Linked DNA regions of Drosophila melanogaster. The protein of the gene in region 1 purifies or fractionates together with the protein of each later gene. This does not show direct contact. Each region holds a gene or a part of one and is shown in the gene's direction. Other genes may lie near its edges.

Region 1 (9,648 bases):
AGGTGCCGCAGTGTGATGATGACAAGTTTAGCGAGGTGATGGGCAAGTTTGCCGAGGAGTGCAGACAACAAGTGGACGTGCTGGGTAAGATTATCTCATCTGATCGGAACGAATATTACATGAGCAAAATCGAATTCTCTAACATCTCGTTTTAATTTCAGGCAAAATGCAGCTGCAAATGGAGAAGCTGTACAAGGACCTCAGCGAGTACTATGCCTTCGATCCCAGCAAATACACAATGGAGGAGTTCTTTGCGGACATCAAGACTTTCAAGGATGCCTTCCAAGCGGCCCACAACGACAATGTCCGGGTACGCGAGGAGCTGGAGAAGAAGCGTCGTCTGCAGGAGGCCCGAGAGCAGTCTGCTCGAGAGCAACAGGAGCGCCAACAGCGTAAGAAGGCAGTGGTTGACATGGATGCCCCGCAGACGCAGGAAGGCGTGATGGACAGTCTGTTGGAGGCGCTGCAAACGGGCTCAGCCTTTGGCCAACGAAATCGACAGGCCCGGCGACAACGACCGGCGGGAGCGGAGCGGAGGGCACAGCTCAGCCGGAGTCGATCGCGGACGCGTGTCACCAACGGACAACTAATGACCCGCGAAATGATCCTCAACGAGGTTCTAGGCTCCGCGTAGAAGTAATGGAACGAGCAATTCCCCTCTGTACATATATAAATAGATATCTGTAGCGATATAAGGGCCTGGGCTCATTAGCCGTGAGTCCGTGTGCGTCGCCTTGCTTGCATATCAACTCAATTGGCGTGTCCAAGAGATTTGACGAATTGGATGCCCAGCAGGAAGGACTGTATCAAGAGCCGCAAAGTACTAATTAACTGGAACTAGAGTCACAGGTGGATTTTCCGAAATTATTAATTGCTGTAACGGAGTCCTTGGTTTATAGGATTGAGTTTTCCGTTTGAATTGATTGGAGTATTTATTTAATTGATTGTTTAATAAATAACATTTTGTTTAGAATTTATAATATGCAAATAACACATACAAGATCACTTTTATTTAATTAAAATGATTGGCAGGCCTTTTAATTTCAGCTGTACATTTTATTTTACTGCTATGACTGTCCCAATATTAAAGTACCAATTTTACAAGTCGAATATACTATAAAAAAACTTCTAGTTGAAACTAAATTCATGTCAAGAAATTAGCAATGCATATCGATGAAAACTCCAACTTCGCTACCTATACGAAAAAACTAAATATATAGATATTTTTGATACGCTTTTACTTCTGAAATTATGTCGTTGTAAGTCTAAATACTTAAAAATGAAACTGAAAGCAACTTTAAGATTTATCTGTATCTTGTGGTCTTTACATACTGTATTCCTATTTTACTGTGGCATGTTCCAATCATTTTGCTGTGCACTTCGTTTTCGAGGCACTCAGTAGAGCAGAGGCGAGATTTATATCAAAGCAAAATTCCTTTTGTATTTAATTTGTTTTTAAGCGAAACTTTTTTGAACTTGTTTACCTTAAAATCCTATTTTAATCCGCGCTATACATAACATTGTTAATAAATGTCTATTTTTCGACAATGACGGTATATTGAAAATAAAACTACCAAATCAACTGCTTCTCAACCAATTGATTGGCAATAATCCTGGAATATTCCACAAGAAGGCTTGGCTGCGAATCCGAAAGCAATTTGGGCTTTCCACCCATGTGTGACTTGCCGCCTTTTGTTGTTCTTCTCCACTCTAATTTGTTTTATTAACAAAGATATTTTATCGCCAATGTCGCGGCACCCATAAAGGTGCTTGATTGCGACGGCGAAGGAGGCGGTTGCTCGGCTCGTACAACGCAAAATGCACTTGCTGCGGGATCGGCTGGGGGTTGCGGGTGGGCGGAAGGGGTTTCTGGAGGGGTTTGGCCCGGCAAACGGCCGTAAAACTCTCAAAAACGTTAAACGAACCGACAAACAGCGAATGCCGCACGACAATGATACGTCTACCATCCATACATATCCATCCATCCACACTCAAATCCGTCTGGCGTCGACGCTCCACCAAGCCACAGATATAGGTTGTTAGATCGGGACTGGAACTTGGACATATCTGTAATGGTCTGATTGCCCCTTGAGTTTTATTTCGGAGTCTGCTTTATGGGCTATGGCGCTTGCTTTGCTTTCTTTATGGATTTATTAACATAATTGAGGGAATATGTATAAATACCATTGAATTCGTAGCAGGTTGTTAATGTCAATGGCGGGGACAGATTCTAATTTACGATGGCCAGATAGAGATGCATTAGAGTGTTTTACAGATTGAAATAAATCTTTCATTGCCGGAAGGGCAATTCGAAATGGATTCTCTGCTTTCGATTCAACTAATCGTCGGGGAACGTTTGTATATTATAATATTATGTATTATGTTTGTAATTGATCAACACTTTCTATTTGATGAAAAAATATTACAATCTTCTATCAAATCTTGCGTTTGTACGACCAAAATTCATGATTCATCTCGAATTTGCCGCCCAGGGGGAGTTACCATATGTTTACATAGATCACTTAGGGATTAGCCTTTTTGTGCGCCCCTAATGACTTCCAGGTAACGGCGTGTTACATGACTTGCCCGTGCCTGGGATGAGACGAGGAGCCCAGCCTTATAGAGCCCACGGGTCGTACCCTTCCAGGCCCAGCCCACGCAGTAAATTCCACCGAATTGTTGACGGTTTGCGAAAAAGAGGAAAAAACAAATCTGGGCTGTGGCTGCCTAATTGTTGTGTGAATTTTATGGGCCGATCGATGGGCAGGTCAACGCATCAGCACCACCTTACAGGCCTTGTTTGGTGTCCTCGTTCCCGTGCGACCTCTACGATCGCATCCTGGTTTCTGTATTCTGGTCTTTGGGTCGCAATGGCGATGGTTATGGCGAAAGCGATCGCGTTCGCGTAATCATAAAATCACCTTTTGTGCGCGGGCCTTCGATTGTTTTACAACATGTTTTGTCTTACGGACATTAAGGGGTTTTTTGTTTGCAAACGAACCCGAACCAGTTTTTGGTAGTTCAGCGTTAATAAGTGAGTATTGAGTACCTCCCTCGCGAGGCCAACTGCCCGGTGTGCTTCTGTTCCCGTGTTCCGCCGAGTCCTTTTCGGGGATATGTCGGTTATCCTCCATTGTGTCAGCTGCATTCACTTCTAATTATTTGACGCGACATTTGCAGTTTGCAGTTTTACGATCCCATACCGAGCATCGAACATCGCGGCAATCAATGAATTTATTTTTTACAGATTTAGAGAGGATTTCTGGAATCTCGGGATTACTCAATCGGCGCGAGCTTAGCGTTCTTTTTAGGGATTACAATTGGGAGTAGCTGTGTGGTATCGAAATTCTTGCGAAAAATTAATAAGAATGGTGTTAGCTGACCTGGAATTTGTGAGGCAGGAATATGTTTAACCAACTATACCTTATTCCAATGAATATATTATATTCCTTTGTGTAAGGAAAAATTATAGTCAGATAGTTTGAAAATAATTGGACAATGATTTCACATTCTAATCTTAGGGTATATTACATGTATAGTTTTATAATTAATGCCACAATATGAATATTTGGAATTTGTTATATTGCCAATATATTATAATAATTAGGCGCGTTTGCAATCTTATGATCACACGCGTGTCTGTCATAAATTATAAATAAATCAATTTATTTATTATTATTCAAATTGCGTTCAATTATTAGTTTTTATGTTAGTGAGGAGGTTTTGTAAATGGGTTTATTGATATTATTAATTCTTTACCGTATTGGGCCAATTTTGCCTTTTGCTTCACGAAATGGGTAACACTTTTGCTAAAGTCGTTATGAAATAATAATCGATATTTCAATTCCACCCATTTGTTAAACTTCCAGCGAAGTTTGATCGAAAATAAGTTCTCATGGGAATTTAAATTGATTAGTCATATTTTTGGTAATGAAGCTGGAAACTTTCGATTTACATTAAATGATAGATCCGTCAAAAGATCACCTCATTTTTAGTACCATCTTTTTTTTTTACATAAGCCCCTTGTATCACATCTTGCACCTTATCAATGCCAGACTTCTTCCGCTATATTTGAGTTCCCTGCGAATTTTTATCGCTGCTTACATGTCAATTATGGCATTAGCTTTACAACTAGAACCGAACAATAGTGCTTTGACAATATCGAGGCGCCCATATAAACAGCGATTGCTTGGCAAACACCAAAAGTCTGGACATCAAGTGTGTGCAGATCAAACACGGTATATGGATATGGAGAATAAAATCCGGAGGATAAAACATTGATTATTCCCCAGATAGAGGTACATATATCGCGACTATTACGACCGTGGCAACATAATTTTACAGCCACTAATTGCATAATACACACGCATCTCCGCAATTACTTAATTAGCCAACGGCAATTGCAATTAAAGTACATACAAATCGAAAGCGGGCCATAAAGGAAAAGGGGTTTTCTTGGCCAAGATATTACGACAAACTGCATACCTGGCTCAATGGGGCGTGGCCACCTGCCTGCCAGCCATCGCAGACCGGTGCGAAAGAGACGGAGCACCAGACAGACGGAGATAGCGGTAGTCAAGCACTCAGGCCATCTTGAATTTCGACCGAGCAACGGAAATGAGGGTTAAAAACGCCCAAGTAAAGGCACTGCTCGTGCGCTAGAAAGAGACAACTAGTGAGTGCCGACTGCGGTGGTTGTTTTTTTTGAGCCTCTCTGCCTGTTTATCTGATTTTCCACTGCTTTGAGTTTTTTATCAGTCGAGTCTTGCTCTACGTTTCAGTACGTGTTCGACCTGCATACTGAGTTGACGTCGCCACGCACGGAATAACATTTCAAATTAGTAGATTAGCCCTGCAAAACAAAAATCCATCTCGTGAGTGAGTGCTGAAAAATAGCGTTTCGAAATATTATCGATATCTCGGTCGTATGTTACTGTGCTCCCAAAAAACACATCACCAGCCAGTGATAACTGTAAAGATTGACAAAGCAAAATATATCCATTATAACCCAAACTGAAACTCCAGAAAATGTGCAACTAAAACATATTGGCCATCAAAGTGATAAGACTTAGAGATTAACGCCGGATTATTGGACACCGGACCGAGCACTGGGACTATCTTCGGAGAAAGCGCACCTAATCTAACCTCAAAATGGTTTCGCACTACTACAACACACTGCCCTACACACAAAAGCACAGTGCCGCCAATTTGGCCTATGCCTCAGCGGCGGGCCAGCCATGGAACTGGACGCCCAACTACCACCACACGCCGCCGAACCACCAGTTCCTGGGCGATGTGGACTCCTCGCATGCCGCCCACCACGCGGCCGCTGCCCACCAGATGTACTACAACTCCCATCACATGTTCCACTCGGCGGCGGCGGCCTCTGCCGGGGAGTGGCACTCACCCGCCTCGAGCACGGCGGATAACTTCGTTCAGAATGTGCCCACGTCGGCCCACCAGCTGATGCAGCAGCACCACCATCATCACGCCCATGCCTCCAGCAGTTCCGCCAGTTCCGGGAGCAGCAGTAGCGGTGGTGCACCGGGTGCGCCCCAGCTCAACGAGACCAACAGCAGCATCGGCGTCGGAGGAGCAGGCGGTGGCGGTGGTGTTGGCGGGGCCACCGATGGAGGACCAGGTTCCGCACCACCCAACCATCAGCAGCACATCGCCGAAGGTCTGCCGTCGCCACCGATTACCGTTTCGGGCTCGGAAATCTCTAGCCCGGGGGCGCCGACTTCTGCCTCGTCGCCGCATCATCACTTGGCACACCATTTGAGTGCCGTCGCCAACAACAACAACAACAACAACAACAACAACAATAGCCCATCCACCCATAACAACAACAACAATAACAATTCGGTGAGCAACAACAACAGGACATCGCCATCGAAGCCGCCATACTTCGACTGGATGAAGAAGCCCGCCTATCCAGCACAACCACAACCAGGTGAGTCCTTAGAGACCCAAGAATATATTAAATACAGATTTAGTGTTTTATGAGGGGGTATGATCGGTTACTTCATAACTTTATGAGTAAGGCTAATAACCTGCTTTTACTGCAAAGTTAAGGTCTATGCTTGCCATTGTCACTAGCTTGTATGAGTTTTTTTTTTTTAATCGAATGTGAAATAAGATCTTACTCACCGAAGGCTTTTAGTCCGAAAGACCTCGATTACCCGAATTTTTGTGTATTCAGCTACTTAGTCATTCCACTGACCTTCGATTCCGCGTACCCTGCGCTTGGGTTTCTCCCGCATCCGCCTGGCTACATTCCGAACCCGAAGATTCCATATTGCCCAGCACATAATGCACTGCATTGTCTTCCCGCCAAGCTCGTGCTGTTCGCGCTTTTCCCTGTCCATCTCTCACGGTACATATATGGGCTTTTATAAGAATCCGTTTGCCTGGCGCGCATCCAAGTCCAAATGGCCAATTAGCTCATAAAAATCAAATTCTGTTCAAGCTTCACTTTTATGATATTCAGTTGGGGTCGCGAGATCCCCGATCCGACGCCTTGATTTATGGCCACCCCGTGTTCACCGTCCACATGAGTGTTTCTGTTTGTTTGCTCCACTCTGTCTCCGTCTCGATTCCGATTCCATTGACTAATTTTGTATCGTAAATCAACTTAACAACTATAAGCATTTGAAAATGGTTTGATCAACTTACCAATAACCAGACAGCATTTGATGGAAAGTCCATCAGAGTAGAGGACTGGACTGTAAAGGCTTAGGAAAGTTAGGGAGTTCGGAACCTATTTCACAGCAATTAGCATTATGTGGAGTGTCTAATTGAAGGTTTCACTATTTTCTAAAAATAGTGAATATTCTGAATAATAAGTGAATAATACCCAATTCGACTCTCTTCTCTCAGTTCATGCAAATTTTCTGTGATTATGTGGATTTCTTGCGTTTTGTTTGCTGTGTTTTCCTACACCTCTGGAAAAACAAGCAAAGGCAATTCAGATGGCAGTGCAGCGATCTCAAACATGAGAAGGAATAAACCACTCACACATTTGTTCACGATTTATGACCCGGGCGCATGTCAAGAAGGGGAAAATGAAGACGACGATATCGACGATATCGACAATAACGCCGATATCCATTAAGCCCATAAAATCTGTTGGCATGCAATTAGCGTTTATGGCCGCTAATCCAGCTGATCAAGCCGACAAGGCGACTCAAGTTTGCCTTATTTATTATTATTCAAAACCCCCTTTAGCCTCCGCTGTCTGAATGTCACCTTTCTGACGCGCGACTGATTGTAATTCTTGCCGTATTTCATTTGCCTAAAAAGCACAAATATTTAAGTAAGAATAAATATTATATAAAAATAAAGTTAGATATTATTTACAGCCACTATGAGCGATCAGCAGCACCTTTTGCCAACACTTTGCTCAGGTATTATCTCTCTGGCATTTTCTTTGAATTGATGGTCTCGCCAAATCGAGTAATAATTAGTAATCTGCCTTTTCCAACAGAAGAGAAGAGGGGGGCTGTGACTAACACTTCGTGATTTTTGATAGAATTATAAAAGGTCCATTTTCCGTTGTCTGCGCGGCATGTGGCGGCATGTGGCGGCAGGGCACGTCGAAGGCCCACTTCAGCTTTCGGGGTGTGGCAATAAAACGGCAACCACGATTGTCGCTGGATGCAGATGCCGTGTACTTTTGTTTCAATGGCTGGTGGTTCGGGCGGGTTTTTCGATTAGATTAGCTAGCGTGGGGAATCAAATAAACGCCCGCCCTGTCAATAAGTCCTGAAAACCCCACCCAACCCATGGGGCTGCGAGTTCTATTTTCTGTTGCTTCAATAATGTGCCGAGTGATATGGAAACGTGGCCACAAAAAAAAAAAAAAAAAGAGTTCTTTGCGTGTTATCTAAAACGTCAAAAGCGTTGTTGATAAGCGATTCCGCTGCGTTTGCGACGGGCATATTGATTAAAACAATATAGGGTCGTAAACCAATAAAAATTAGTATTACTTCCAATAAAAACTAAATAGCGACATTTACGATCAAATCTATGCAATCATTATTAAACGGCAAGAAATTTAAGTGTCCATAGTTCAGAAAAGGATAGTTCCAACAATTCTGGTTTGCCAAAGTTGGCTAAAGTATCCAACCAATTGTATCAGTTATCCAATGTTGCCCAAATAAGGCTCCTCATTCTTTGATCCTTCGATTGGCCAACATCTCATTGCATTGAACGCACTTAGCAATACATTTTTGCTTATTAGCTGTCCGTAATTTATTGTCGTTATAATTTCTCCGGAGAACCAAATGTATCTAGGGGCCCAAGGAGTTCTTACTGGGATTGTCTGTAGATTTTCAGCATTGCCCGTGTTGGGACATAAAAACTAATGCCACCTGACACATTGAGATTTAATGTGTCAATATGCACAGAAAATTTATATCTAGCCACATAAATAATCGAAAAAGAGAGAGAGAGAGAGAGAGAGAAGGAATATATGGCGGGCTTGGATTTATATTGCTTTCCCGACGCATCTGAAAAGTGTTGTACTGCTCCACCGGCGCGGATGGGATACCTTTGTGGTCCGATTTTGGTCTGGGTCCCGCTCCGAGTACCAGTACCGTTCCCGGTCCCAAGATAAGCCATCGAAAATGGCCACTAGCTGCAGTGGAAATATGTTTGGTTCGGTTTCCTTATCAGCACTATCGCTGTTTGCCGATGACATTTACCCTTCCCGTTCACCCGTCCAAAGTTTCCTCCTCCGCTCCTGCACGGGTCAAAAATGAAGTCGATTTTTGGCTGCGACTGATCTACGTGGAGTGTGCGTTTGGATCGGTGATTGACATGATGGGATTAGCATTGGAACTCGCTGGCCAGGCCGTCCCATCTCCCTGTCCGTTTGTCACGGACTTGTTACCAATGTGTCGTTTGCTCTGGGCTTAGTTGTCCAAATAATAGAATAGAATCGTGTTTGGGTTTTCCTGCTCTATTTGTATTGGCCCTGATATTGGTAATAACCAGAAATTCGAGTCTTGTCCCAAAGCCCTGCGCACACAGCCGTATATATGTCCATATACGCATAGGTCTCCACTTTCGTGTACATGTTTTTGATATACCATTCGAGGCGTATCGAGTTTATATTGGAGGCGCTAGGGATTCCGGGGGCTTAAATTGGGGTTACGGACAGCTTACTCAACGGAGTGATAAATTAAAATGGTAGCTGTTCAAAATGGGTGCGAAATGTGTCGGACGATGTGTTATTTATTAATGGAAATTGGCGCATTTTATTTTGATGAATTATAAAACAATGTAGAATGTAAAGACCATGGAAACTAATTTAAACTACTGTACAATCCATTTGGAAATCTTTGCCTCAAGTTATTTTATCAATGAAAGTAAACAGCAAAGAGAGAGTCCAGAAACTGTAAATTATAGCCACGTTTCCTGTTCGCCATAAACCATAATTCCATAATGGGAATACTGCGATGTACATATGTACATAGTTCGTATCGGGAAAACGAGGCGAAAGCCTTTTGTTTGGGGGGCAACTTGGCCAAGTGACAGGGAAATCCGATTGTCAATCAACGAGGTCCGCCTGAATTATGACAACACAAAACGTTGCAATGATGATGGCTCGGACGGACGGATGACACCTGCTAGTGTCTCAGGCCA
Region 2 (9,648 bases), on another chromosome or scaffold:
CAGTAGCCCCAAGATGGACCACAACGAAATCTCCATGACTATGGACGCCAAGCTGGATACACACGATAAGCGACCAGTGGCGCTGCGTTACAAGACATGGACCCGCTGCCAAGTGAAAATAGAGGCCATTAAGTGTGTGCCCTGCTTCCTGCGGCTCAGTTTCCAGGCCATGGAGACCGAGTCTCACTCCCAAGAGTGTCACCCCGCTAAACCCATTAGCGTCTCCGTAAACGTTCCGGGCGTCAGCTTGAGCCTGGCTACCTCGCGCACGAAGCAGCACTCGTACGGGCTGTTTTGGACGCAAAATCGGCGGGACTGCTTCATCTATTTCGCCCTGGAAACGGAGACATCCTGCCGACGTCACATGAAATGGATGCGGAAGTCGATTAAGAATCTGGAACTTTATCGCCAGGTCTTTCTAGAACAGCGCCGGCTGAGCAGGGGTCCCGGAGGTCTGGGCCCACTGCCTAACCTGCCGGAAACCCTCGACGCTAGCGCTCTCTCTCCGCGAGTCTCGCAAATATACGAGGAGATTTTTGACGGCAGCCGCATCTCCCGCGTCTCAATCGCATCCGGCATTTACGAAGAGATGAAGCCGTCAGTCATGGAGACTCCTTCACCGCCACCGCTGCCCGCACATCCTTACCGTCAGCGAATAAACACTTTTGAGTGCGCCCAGCTTGGCGAGATTGCGCGGTCCAGCACCAATCCCGAATCGGAGCTGGCCAAGAAGAAGAAATACAAGAACATGCTGGACAACCTGTTCGGGAGTTCACGTCAAAAGCGTTCCGGCAGCACCAGCGAGGTGGCCAATGAACCCAGCGATGAGGTCCTGCCACTGTATGAGAATGCCCCCACGCCGGAGCCTGTGCTTCCGGTAAAGCGCACATCCCAGTTGAACAAGTCTCAGCGTAATAGCTTCTCAAGTCCGGACTTGTCCAAACTCAATCTGCTGGACACCTTTGGAGAATACTTCGAGGCCCAGAACCATGAGTCGAGCATGGAGATAAACATTAGTCTGGATGAGTCGGTCATTGAGCCGATCTCTCGCAATGAGATTATTGCGCAAATATCTAGCCAATTGGGCAAAGCAGACTCTTTGGAAAGTCTGAATGTTTCGGAGCAACTTCCGTACAACTTCAACTTTTCCGCTTGTAACACGTCAACCATCAATCTCATTGGATCGCATGGAGCTGTTCCGCAGAGTAATCAGCTAAAGAAAAATAAGATACTGCACGAAGACCTTACGGGATACTGTGTAATGGCACCCATTTTAAAGGCGACGGTAAAAGATTTGCCACCACAGCCAGGCGGCAGTACAGTGTCCACATCCTCCGGATATTCCACGGGCTCCTACTGCTCCTCCACCAGCAGCTGTAACACGGAGGACCAGCCCACCAAGACGCAGATCGCCAATGAGAGTGACATATACGAAGTCATGCATGGAACCTCTCTGAACAGTACCGTCGGAGCGGCTGCAGCTGGATTTGCGGAACACCTCTACGAGAACCTTTTGGCTGTGAAGGCCGCACAGGAGCTGGAGGCGCAGCCTGTCGGCTTTGGACTGAGCACAAGCACACCCACCGAATCTCCCCTGGCGCCGGCCTTGCCGCAAAAGGGAACGCCCAAGGACAAAACTTTGCAACAGAAGCCAGAGGAGGAAAACTACTACCAGACACCAAGAAAGTCGATTATCAGTGTGGACGACAAGATACCCTCCTATTATCCGAACAGCTGCGACACACTCAAGTCAAAGCGACGCAGTCCCACCGAACATGGACCTAGTTTTAGGCACTTAGTCAGTTCCAAGTTGCGACGTGAACGAAAGGAGAACCTCTACATTTCCTCGCCCCAGCAAATCATTGAGCAGCGTCACAAGGCGGCCACCATCTCATCAGCATCAGTATCAGCCAAGACTAAAAGCTCAACCAAAAAGACTGCCGCCCACAAAATTTCTGACAGTGTTTATGCAGTCACCCATCCGGTAAAGCGTCCGAACAGCACCAATAGCAACAATACCCACCAAAGCAACAATAACAATAACAATGAAGGCGTGGATGACGAACTGCTGCACTTGACCGTTTTGAAGAACATTGACTTTAAGTTTGATGATAGCCAAGCATCTGAGGATTCCTGCAAGGCGAAAGCATCTGCTCTTCCCGTAGCGAACGAATGCTTTGTACAGCCAAATCTGGAGAAGGAGTACGAGGATCGCTTTCAAGCGGCGGAAAAGGCTAGTCGTCTTTTGCAAAAGTATGCGACGCTGGCCAAAATCGGGCATTCGCCCAGCAAGGCGTTGCCCGCACCAGCGCGTCTGGAACCCATGATTCAGTCTGTGGCCACGTCCAATGAGTTGCAGCCCGAGGGAGGCACCATGAAAAAGTTCGCCTCCCTACCACGCTTCAAGAAAATTGACTTTTCGCCGCTGAAGATGAGACTCAATAGTGTCCTCCAGAGAAATCCACCTTCGCCGCAGCACTAAAATGGATTCTCCGTTTTCCGTAACCATGTTTAACACTTCGCTGTGGACACAAACTGCTTTTTAACCATTTCGCTATTTATGTTGTAGTTTCTTGTGAATGTGATCTGATTAGTTCGACAAGTTGATTATTATGTTATCCGAGTATATAATACGCTTTCCCACGATGCACTTAGTATTAAGCCTTATATGTATGGTCATCCTGCTTTGTCAAATGTATTTTAACGAACCATATCCGGATCCACTTGGGGGGTCCCCTAGTATTACTACTGTTGTGAACCAACGATGAATGTCTAAGAATATGCTCAATTATGAAAATTTACAAAAACGCTTTTATACGTATTAAACCAAAAACCACATTGTTGACTCATTTAGGCGCCTTGTTGTTAAAGAAAAACTAAATTTAGCTAAACAATTTTCAATTCTACAGATGATTAATCGTCTACCAAAATGGGCTTACGCCGCATCAGATATTTTTTGGCGGCGTAGCCTGAACTACGCTTTTCGGCTTCGCATAACATATCAGAGATTAGTTAAACTTACAATAAAATGCTTCAAGATAGCATAACCAATGCTGAACTGTACCGTGACTAAACCATAAGCTTACAAATAAAATATGCCACAAAAATGAAGTAAACTTTACAAGCAAATGAAAAGGTGTTTGTTTGTTTTCAAGAAGGAATCACTTTATTTGCTCACTGTCTTAACTGTAAACCATGGGTCGTCGCCGTTCGTTTATAAACTCCTGTTCCACTCGCGAATCCTTGTGCACCACATAGAAGAGCAGAGCGCCACCGGAAACGAAAAACCCCTTTTCGGCGATTATCTCGGCCAGCTGCTTCTCCTCGTCCACCTTGTGGACACAGCCCACCTTGCGGTTCTCGTAGTAAACGTGCACGTTACCCAGGCGGTAGTTGTGTGCCTTGTCGTATGGCAGCTTTTCGGTGAGCAGCGTCGCCAGGCAATCCCGCATGGTGGTGGTCTCCGGCAGCTGCTGATAAAAGTCGCTGTACAGGAACTCGGGGTAGGAGAACGCAGCCGGCCAGATCAGAGTGCTGCCGTCCTCGTCTAGGTGCACCGGATGGTCCTCCAAAGGCAGAAACTTTGGATAAAGGAGCTCCTCACTGAGGACGTCCTTTTTGCCAACTTTTTGATCGTCAAACTTAATGGCGCGCTGCTCGATGGCGTCGCGGAGTCTGTGGAAGCGTGTAAGCCGTCGCTTTGCCTCGGCAGCTTCCTTGCGCTGATTGCGTTCTATCTCGAGCTACGGAAATAACTTGTTTAATGTGGGTTCCTATCCAGTTGGATCACGTATTCTAACCTTCTTCATCTTGTTCTTGTGCAGCAGCGCGATGGCCACCTCGTTGTCGACGTCCACCTCGAGCAGCTCCTCGCACATCTGGGTGCACAGATCGAACCTCTCCAGCTCGTACGCACACTGTGCCGACCGCCAGCGGGCCTTTGTGTAGTCTGGCTTGTAGAACAGAGCTCGCTGGGCGTCGCTCAGCGAGGATCTGTAGTTCTTGATGAAGAAGTGAGCCGCCGAGCGGTTGTTGTAGAGAACGGCTAGCACGTCGGGATTGTCCGTCTTGGTCTTGATGCCCTCGGTAAAGCTGTAGATTGCCATGCGGAACTTCTTGTGCTTCATGTAAAAGTTGCCATCCTCCTTGTAGTTGAGCGCCAGCTCGTCGCGCGTGTTCTCCTCCGGATCGTACTTGAGCTTCTGCAGACCCTCGAACATCGGATGCACGTCATCCCCTGGCTGAGGAGCACGTTTCATGAAGAACGGGTGCTTGTCCATCTCCTCCTGCCAGCGGTCCTCCGGCCAGCCCTCCTCGTAACGTTTCTTCTCCAGGCCATCGATAAACGCATCCAGTTCCGCGTCCAGCTGGGCCGCCAGCTCCAGACGCTCCTCATCCGTCCAGGCTTTTTGTGCCGCCATTTGTTTCATTTGGTCTAATCAGAAACAGTGTGACCGCAGACGAACCGTTACAATATACCAACTGGCCAAAGGTGCCGCACATTTCCTAAAGGTGGCGCCTCTAAAATAAGGGTGGCCCTCCGTCTATCGATAGTCGTACGCTTCCTTCTTTAAACGAGCTAAACTCGGAACGAATTATGATCTTAACATCTTAAATCTTAACATGGTAAAACTTTAAGCCTTTTGACGCTTTACGCAGCTGTTGTGATATATCAGAAACATCGATAGTCGCCATAACATATTGTTATTGTATGAGAGTTTTAAAATTATCGATGCGCTGATGACCCCTTCATCGGCGTTTTCCCACCCCTAATTGGCAGAGACGCGACTGAGCTGGGACGTACCGTTACCGTTGGCAGAGACGCGACTGAGAAATAAAATTAAAACGTCGACGTTCCTTCCTCGTAGAAGAAACCAATCAAAATAAAAACAAACAGAGCGTGCGTTCGCGCCAAATACTTAACAACAATTAGCAAACGTAAGAAGCAAAGTGAGTGTCGTCGGCTGCGGGAGCCCGTGTGCCCAGTTTGGAACTGGGATCCGACCCAGTCCACGTCCGTCTCGTCCCCGCTAAATTTGTAACTCTTGTTTCCCCGTCTTGTCCCCTCAGTGCATACCCTCACGGCGGCCATTGAGATGGACAAGCTGGATGCCAATCTTGAGCAGCAGTTTGATCTCAATCTCATCGAGGCTGTCAAGCTGAACCCAGTGATATACGACAGGTCGCACTACAATTACAAGCACTTTGTGCGCAAGGCCCAGACCTGGAAACAAATCGCCGAAACGCTCGGTGTGCCTGGTAAGTGAAATTCGGCTGGTTTTGGCTACGGGTTTTCTGCTTTCTGTCAGCCGTCTTCGGTCCGTGCCCCAACCAGCCCCAGCCAATTGATTAATTCTGTGCGGGCGCAGGTCGAAGGGGCGGGACAAGTCAGTCGACGACGACGACAGAAAACGACGCAAAAGTGAACGGCGACGCGGCGCAGTAGCTGGCTGATGGTTAGGAAATGGCAGGGGGGGATCTATACGTGTGAGGGTGGGCGCGGGCTGCACCGCTCATAAATTGCATTTTATGCGAACTTTTTTTACTGCATTTATATGGTTGCATTTAGAATACAGTTCATTAGTAATTAAACCTAGGTTAATTTCTATCTGTAAAGATCTGCTCTAAAATGAGCGCCCCTTTCGGGCGCTCGGACTGCGGCCCTGCTTGCTCTGTCGGTGTGCAGACTGTGCTCAGTCGATATTTTTGAAGTTGCTGTACTTTGCCGTCGCGTCGCAGTAGTTGTCTCGCTCGCTCCGCAGCCATTCTGCTTGCGCCAGCGTTTATTTTCGTACACTGCGACTGCGATGTGCGCTGCTCACACACGTATACATGCATACAGCATACAGTGGCAGAAAACAGTTTGGCACGGGTTATAAATACGTATTTATTAGTAAAATAAATAAGTTGCTCAGTTCTTTAGACGAAACTATGGATTTTATTTTAATATTGAATAGGATGAGAATTCGGAAAATTAAAATATAGGGCTTTGGAAAGGTCAATAGATAAGCACAAATTAGAACAGCTGTGTCAACACTTCAGAGTCCCACTGTACATACCGGAGACCGACCAGGCAGCTTTCGTTTCGTTTTCATGAGTATACCAACAAAATGTACCGTTCACCCCACCCCCTCGACGGCCGTTGATCGAACCTTAAATTTTCGGCCAAATCGCTGCACCTCATCCGCTTTCGATTATGCAAGTAGGTGGCTGGAAAGCTGGAGTTGCAGTCAAGTGGAGCCAGCAGCAATGCCACAGGTTTCCGTCTCCTGGCAGCGGGCAGCGGGAGTCGGCGACGTCACAGCCACCGTCACGTCAACGTCTCTGCTGGCGCTGGGAAGCTGCTGTCCGCTGCCTTCCTTCTGCCACCGACGCTGCTGCTGCCAACGGTTTGTTTTGGTTCCCGATTTGATGCTTCTTTGGGTGGGTTTGATGGCATAGTTCTAGTTTCTGCACAGTTCCGGACTACACTAGTCCAGAGCTTCTTGAAGAACCTTCTGTGGAGAACCGCCACGCACAGCTGCGCAGGTGTGCTTGCACCGGTTGTTATGAACAGGTCTTCGAGAAAAAAGCATTTATTCAATGTAACAGAAACAAGATTTTAGTTTATATTAGATTTGTAATATTTTCAGAAACATTTCATTTACTTACGAATCTGGTTTCTTTTTTCTTTTCATTTATAGAGGTATACTTTATCAAGCATTTGACGGGTTACCCTATAAAATAAAATACATACAGTTTGTCAAGAAACTGTTTACACACTGTGAAATAAGTTGAATTTTTGACTTTAAAGCTAAAAATAAAGGGTTTTTTGCTTAATTAAACGCAATTTTTTTTATAAAATATAATTAAACAATATTTATTTTACTTATAAATCAAAAAACAAATTAAAAATATTAAATATACAAGAAAATAAACAACAAATTCCAAGTTTACACACTTTTGAGACTGTCAAGAAACTCTTTACACATTTTGTTTTCCTACTTTGTTTTGTTCTTTTTCTTAGAACGAACTCGATTTTTCCGTTATTTTTGGCTTTGCATTGCTTTTTACAACGCTTCTATTGAAATTTGTTGACTTTGCTTGTGAAATTTTGCTGATCAAACGTGCTTAAAGCGAATTATTAAATTTAATAAAATGCCTGGAAAGAGATTAACTTTTGAAGTTACCCAATTAATAAACTATAACCACCAGTTGGGAAAATCTTTTCCAGAATTAGTATAAATGTTTCCTGTATCCCGTAAGACCGTCTACAATGTTTTAAAAGGCTCGGAAAAAGAGGGCAGGCTTGAACCTAAGAGTGGTGGTGGGCGGAAAACCAAAATTAACAAGCGAGTAGACCGCCTTATCATGCGAAAAGTGATTGCGAACCCCTGAATCTCGGTCAGATCACTTGCTCAGGATATCAGGGAAGAATGTCACCTAACTGTGTCACACGAAACTGTGCGCCAAGTCATCCTACGCCATAGGTACTCTTCAAGAGTTGCAAGAAAAAAGCCTTTGCTATCAGAGATCAATATTGAAAAGCGTCATTCATTCCCTGTGAATGATGGATCATGCGGAAGAGTACTGGGATGACGTCATATTTTGTGACGAAACAAAAATGATGCTCTTTTATAACGACGGGCCAAGCAGAGTATGGCGCAAACCGTTGAGTGCGCTAGAAAAACAAAATATCATTCCAACGATAAAATTTGGAAAAATGTCACTGATGGTGTGGGGCTGTATCACCAGCCGTGGAGTGGGAAAACTAGCCTTAATTGAGAGCACAATAAATGCCGTGCAATATCTAGAAATGTTAGAAAACAAATTTGAAGGCCAGTGTAGAAAAAATTAGTCTGGTTAGCAACAACAAGCCAAATTTTAAGTTTTACCAGGACATGATCAGAAACATAAAGAGTGCAATGTACGCACCTGGCGCCTTAATAACTGTGGTAAAGTGATCTATACGCCCCCTCAGAGTCCTGATCTGAACCCCATTGAAAATTTGTGGACCTACTTAAAGAAGAAGGTGGCAAAAAGGGACCTAAAACACAACAACAGCTTATGACTGTAATAGTCGAAGAGTGTGAAAAGATCCCGTTTGAATATGACCTGCAAAAACTTGTCCAATCCATGAAAAAAAGGCTTCAACTTGTAGCTAAAGCCAATGGGGAACATACTACATACCAAAACTTTTAAAATTTTAATAAAATAATTAAAAAATTTAGGATTAAACTTCGATTTAGTGTTTTGTGTAAAGAGTTTCTTGACAGTCTCAAAAGTGTGTAAACTTGGAATTTGTTGTTTATTTTCTTGTATATTTAATATTTTTAATTTGTTTTTTGATTTATAAGTAAAATAAATATTGTTTAATTATATTTTATAAAAAAAATTGCGTTTAATTAAGCATAAAAAACCCTTTATTTTTAGCTTTAAAGTCAAAAATTAAACTTATTTTACAGTGTGTAAACAGTTTCTTGACAAACTGTACATTTATGTACGTATGATATGCTGATATATGTACATACATATGTACAGTGACGCACCTAATTATAGGCACAGTCTTTTTTTTTTTATTTATTTCTATCACTTCATTTATTTGGAGGATTTGCAGCTCACGAAGAATGTTGATAAATTTAACTTTTCGCACTAGGATCATAAGGAAGGCGAAGGTCGCCCGAAAATCCAATCAGTTCACATTGCAGCCTATTTTAAAACCAAGGGAGAAGGCAATAATAGTCAGATGCCCTTTTCTTCGCAAACGTTTTTTTCTTTAAGTGGTAGTTTAGGAAAGTGTATGATGAGTTTGAACATTGCATCTCGTTGCTAGAGTAAACAATCTATATTGAGTCAGCCAGCTCATCCGTTTAGCCGATGTAAAATATTGTTTAAGTTAGCTGATGGACTTTTGGAAACATGTGATACATATTTTCGGCTTACTAAAAACATTTTTTTTATTATTTTTTAAGTGAGTCATTAGAAAGGCAGTCAGTAATTTCTCAAAAAAATGTGACGCAAATTTCAGACGAAATATGAGCTTATGCGACCTTTTTAAAATCTACCAACCAAGCAATAAAATAGTAGATTGAGTTTTCAGAACTTAAGGCTTCTTTATTTTGGATCATACATATATTAAATGTGGGTTAATAGACAATGCATACATAAAGGCAACATTAGTTTAATAACTATTAAATATGGACATTTAATAATCATAAACCAACAACTCTTTTTCATTTTAGAACAAAAATGTACGAAGCGCTGGAAGAGTCTGCGCGACAAGTTCGCCCGCGAGATGAAACTATGTCAGGAATCGCGCTGGCGTTACTTCAAGCAGATGCAATTCCTGGTTGACTCCATCCGCCAGTATCGAGAGTCGCTGCTCGGCAAGTGCGCCAATGGGAGTCAAAGCGCCAACCAGGTGGCCGATCCGTCGCAGCAGCAGCAGGCGCAGCAACAGACCGTCGTGGATATATTTGCACAGCCCTTCAACGGCAGCGCCACAACCTCGGCCCAGGCACTGACCCATCCGCATGGTAGGTGAACCAGCATTTCAGCACCAGAGATCCCTGCTAAATACTTCGGTCTCTTGCAGAAATTACTGTCACCAGCGATGCACAGCTGGCCACTGCCGTGGGCAAGGACCAAAAGCCATACTTCTACGAGCCG

The links.
Region 2: the proteins of cad (region 1) and Adf1 purify together in Drosophila melanogaster (affinity purification with western blotting; one study listed by BioGRID). This does not show direct contact.

Annotation. Positions count from the first base shown.
Region 1 is NT_033779.5:20,765,957-20,775,604, forward strand, and holds the start of cad (caudal), read left to right. Parts: upstream 1-4,774; 5' UTR 4,775-5,151; coding exon 5,152-5,953; intron 5,954-9,648. Other genes in the region: dia (diaphanous), read left to right, coding at 1-84, 162-634. UniProt on the Drosophila melanogaster protein: Caudal (cad) is one of a number of transcription factors controlling segmentation of the embryo.
Region 2 is NT_033778.4:6,657,499-6,667,146, forward strand, and holds the start of Adf1 (Adh transcription factor 1), read left to right. Parts: upstream 1-4,771; 5' UTR 4,772-4,949; coding exon 4,950-4,950; exon of another isoform or gene 4,951-5,070; coding exon 5,071-5,259; intron 5,260-5,896; exon of another isoform or gene 5,897-6,558; intron 6,559-6,651; exon of another isoform or gene 6,652-6,697; intron 6,698-9,221; coding exon 9,222-9,515; intron 9,516-9,574; coding exon 9,575-9,648. Other genes in the region: sced (scrambled), read left to right, coding at 14-2,482; Dpit47 (DNA polymerase interacting tpr containing protein of 47kD), read right to left, coding at 3,183-3,743, 3,801-4,430. UniProt on the Drosophila melanogaster protein: May play an important role not only in the regulation of Adh expression but also in the transcription of other genes.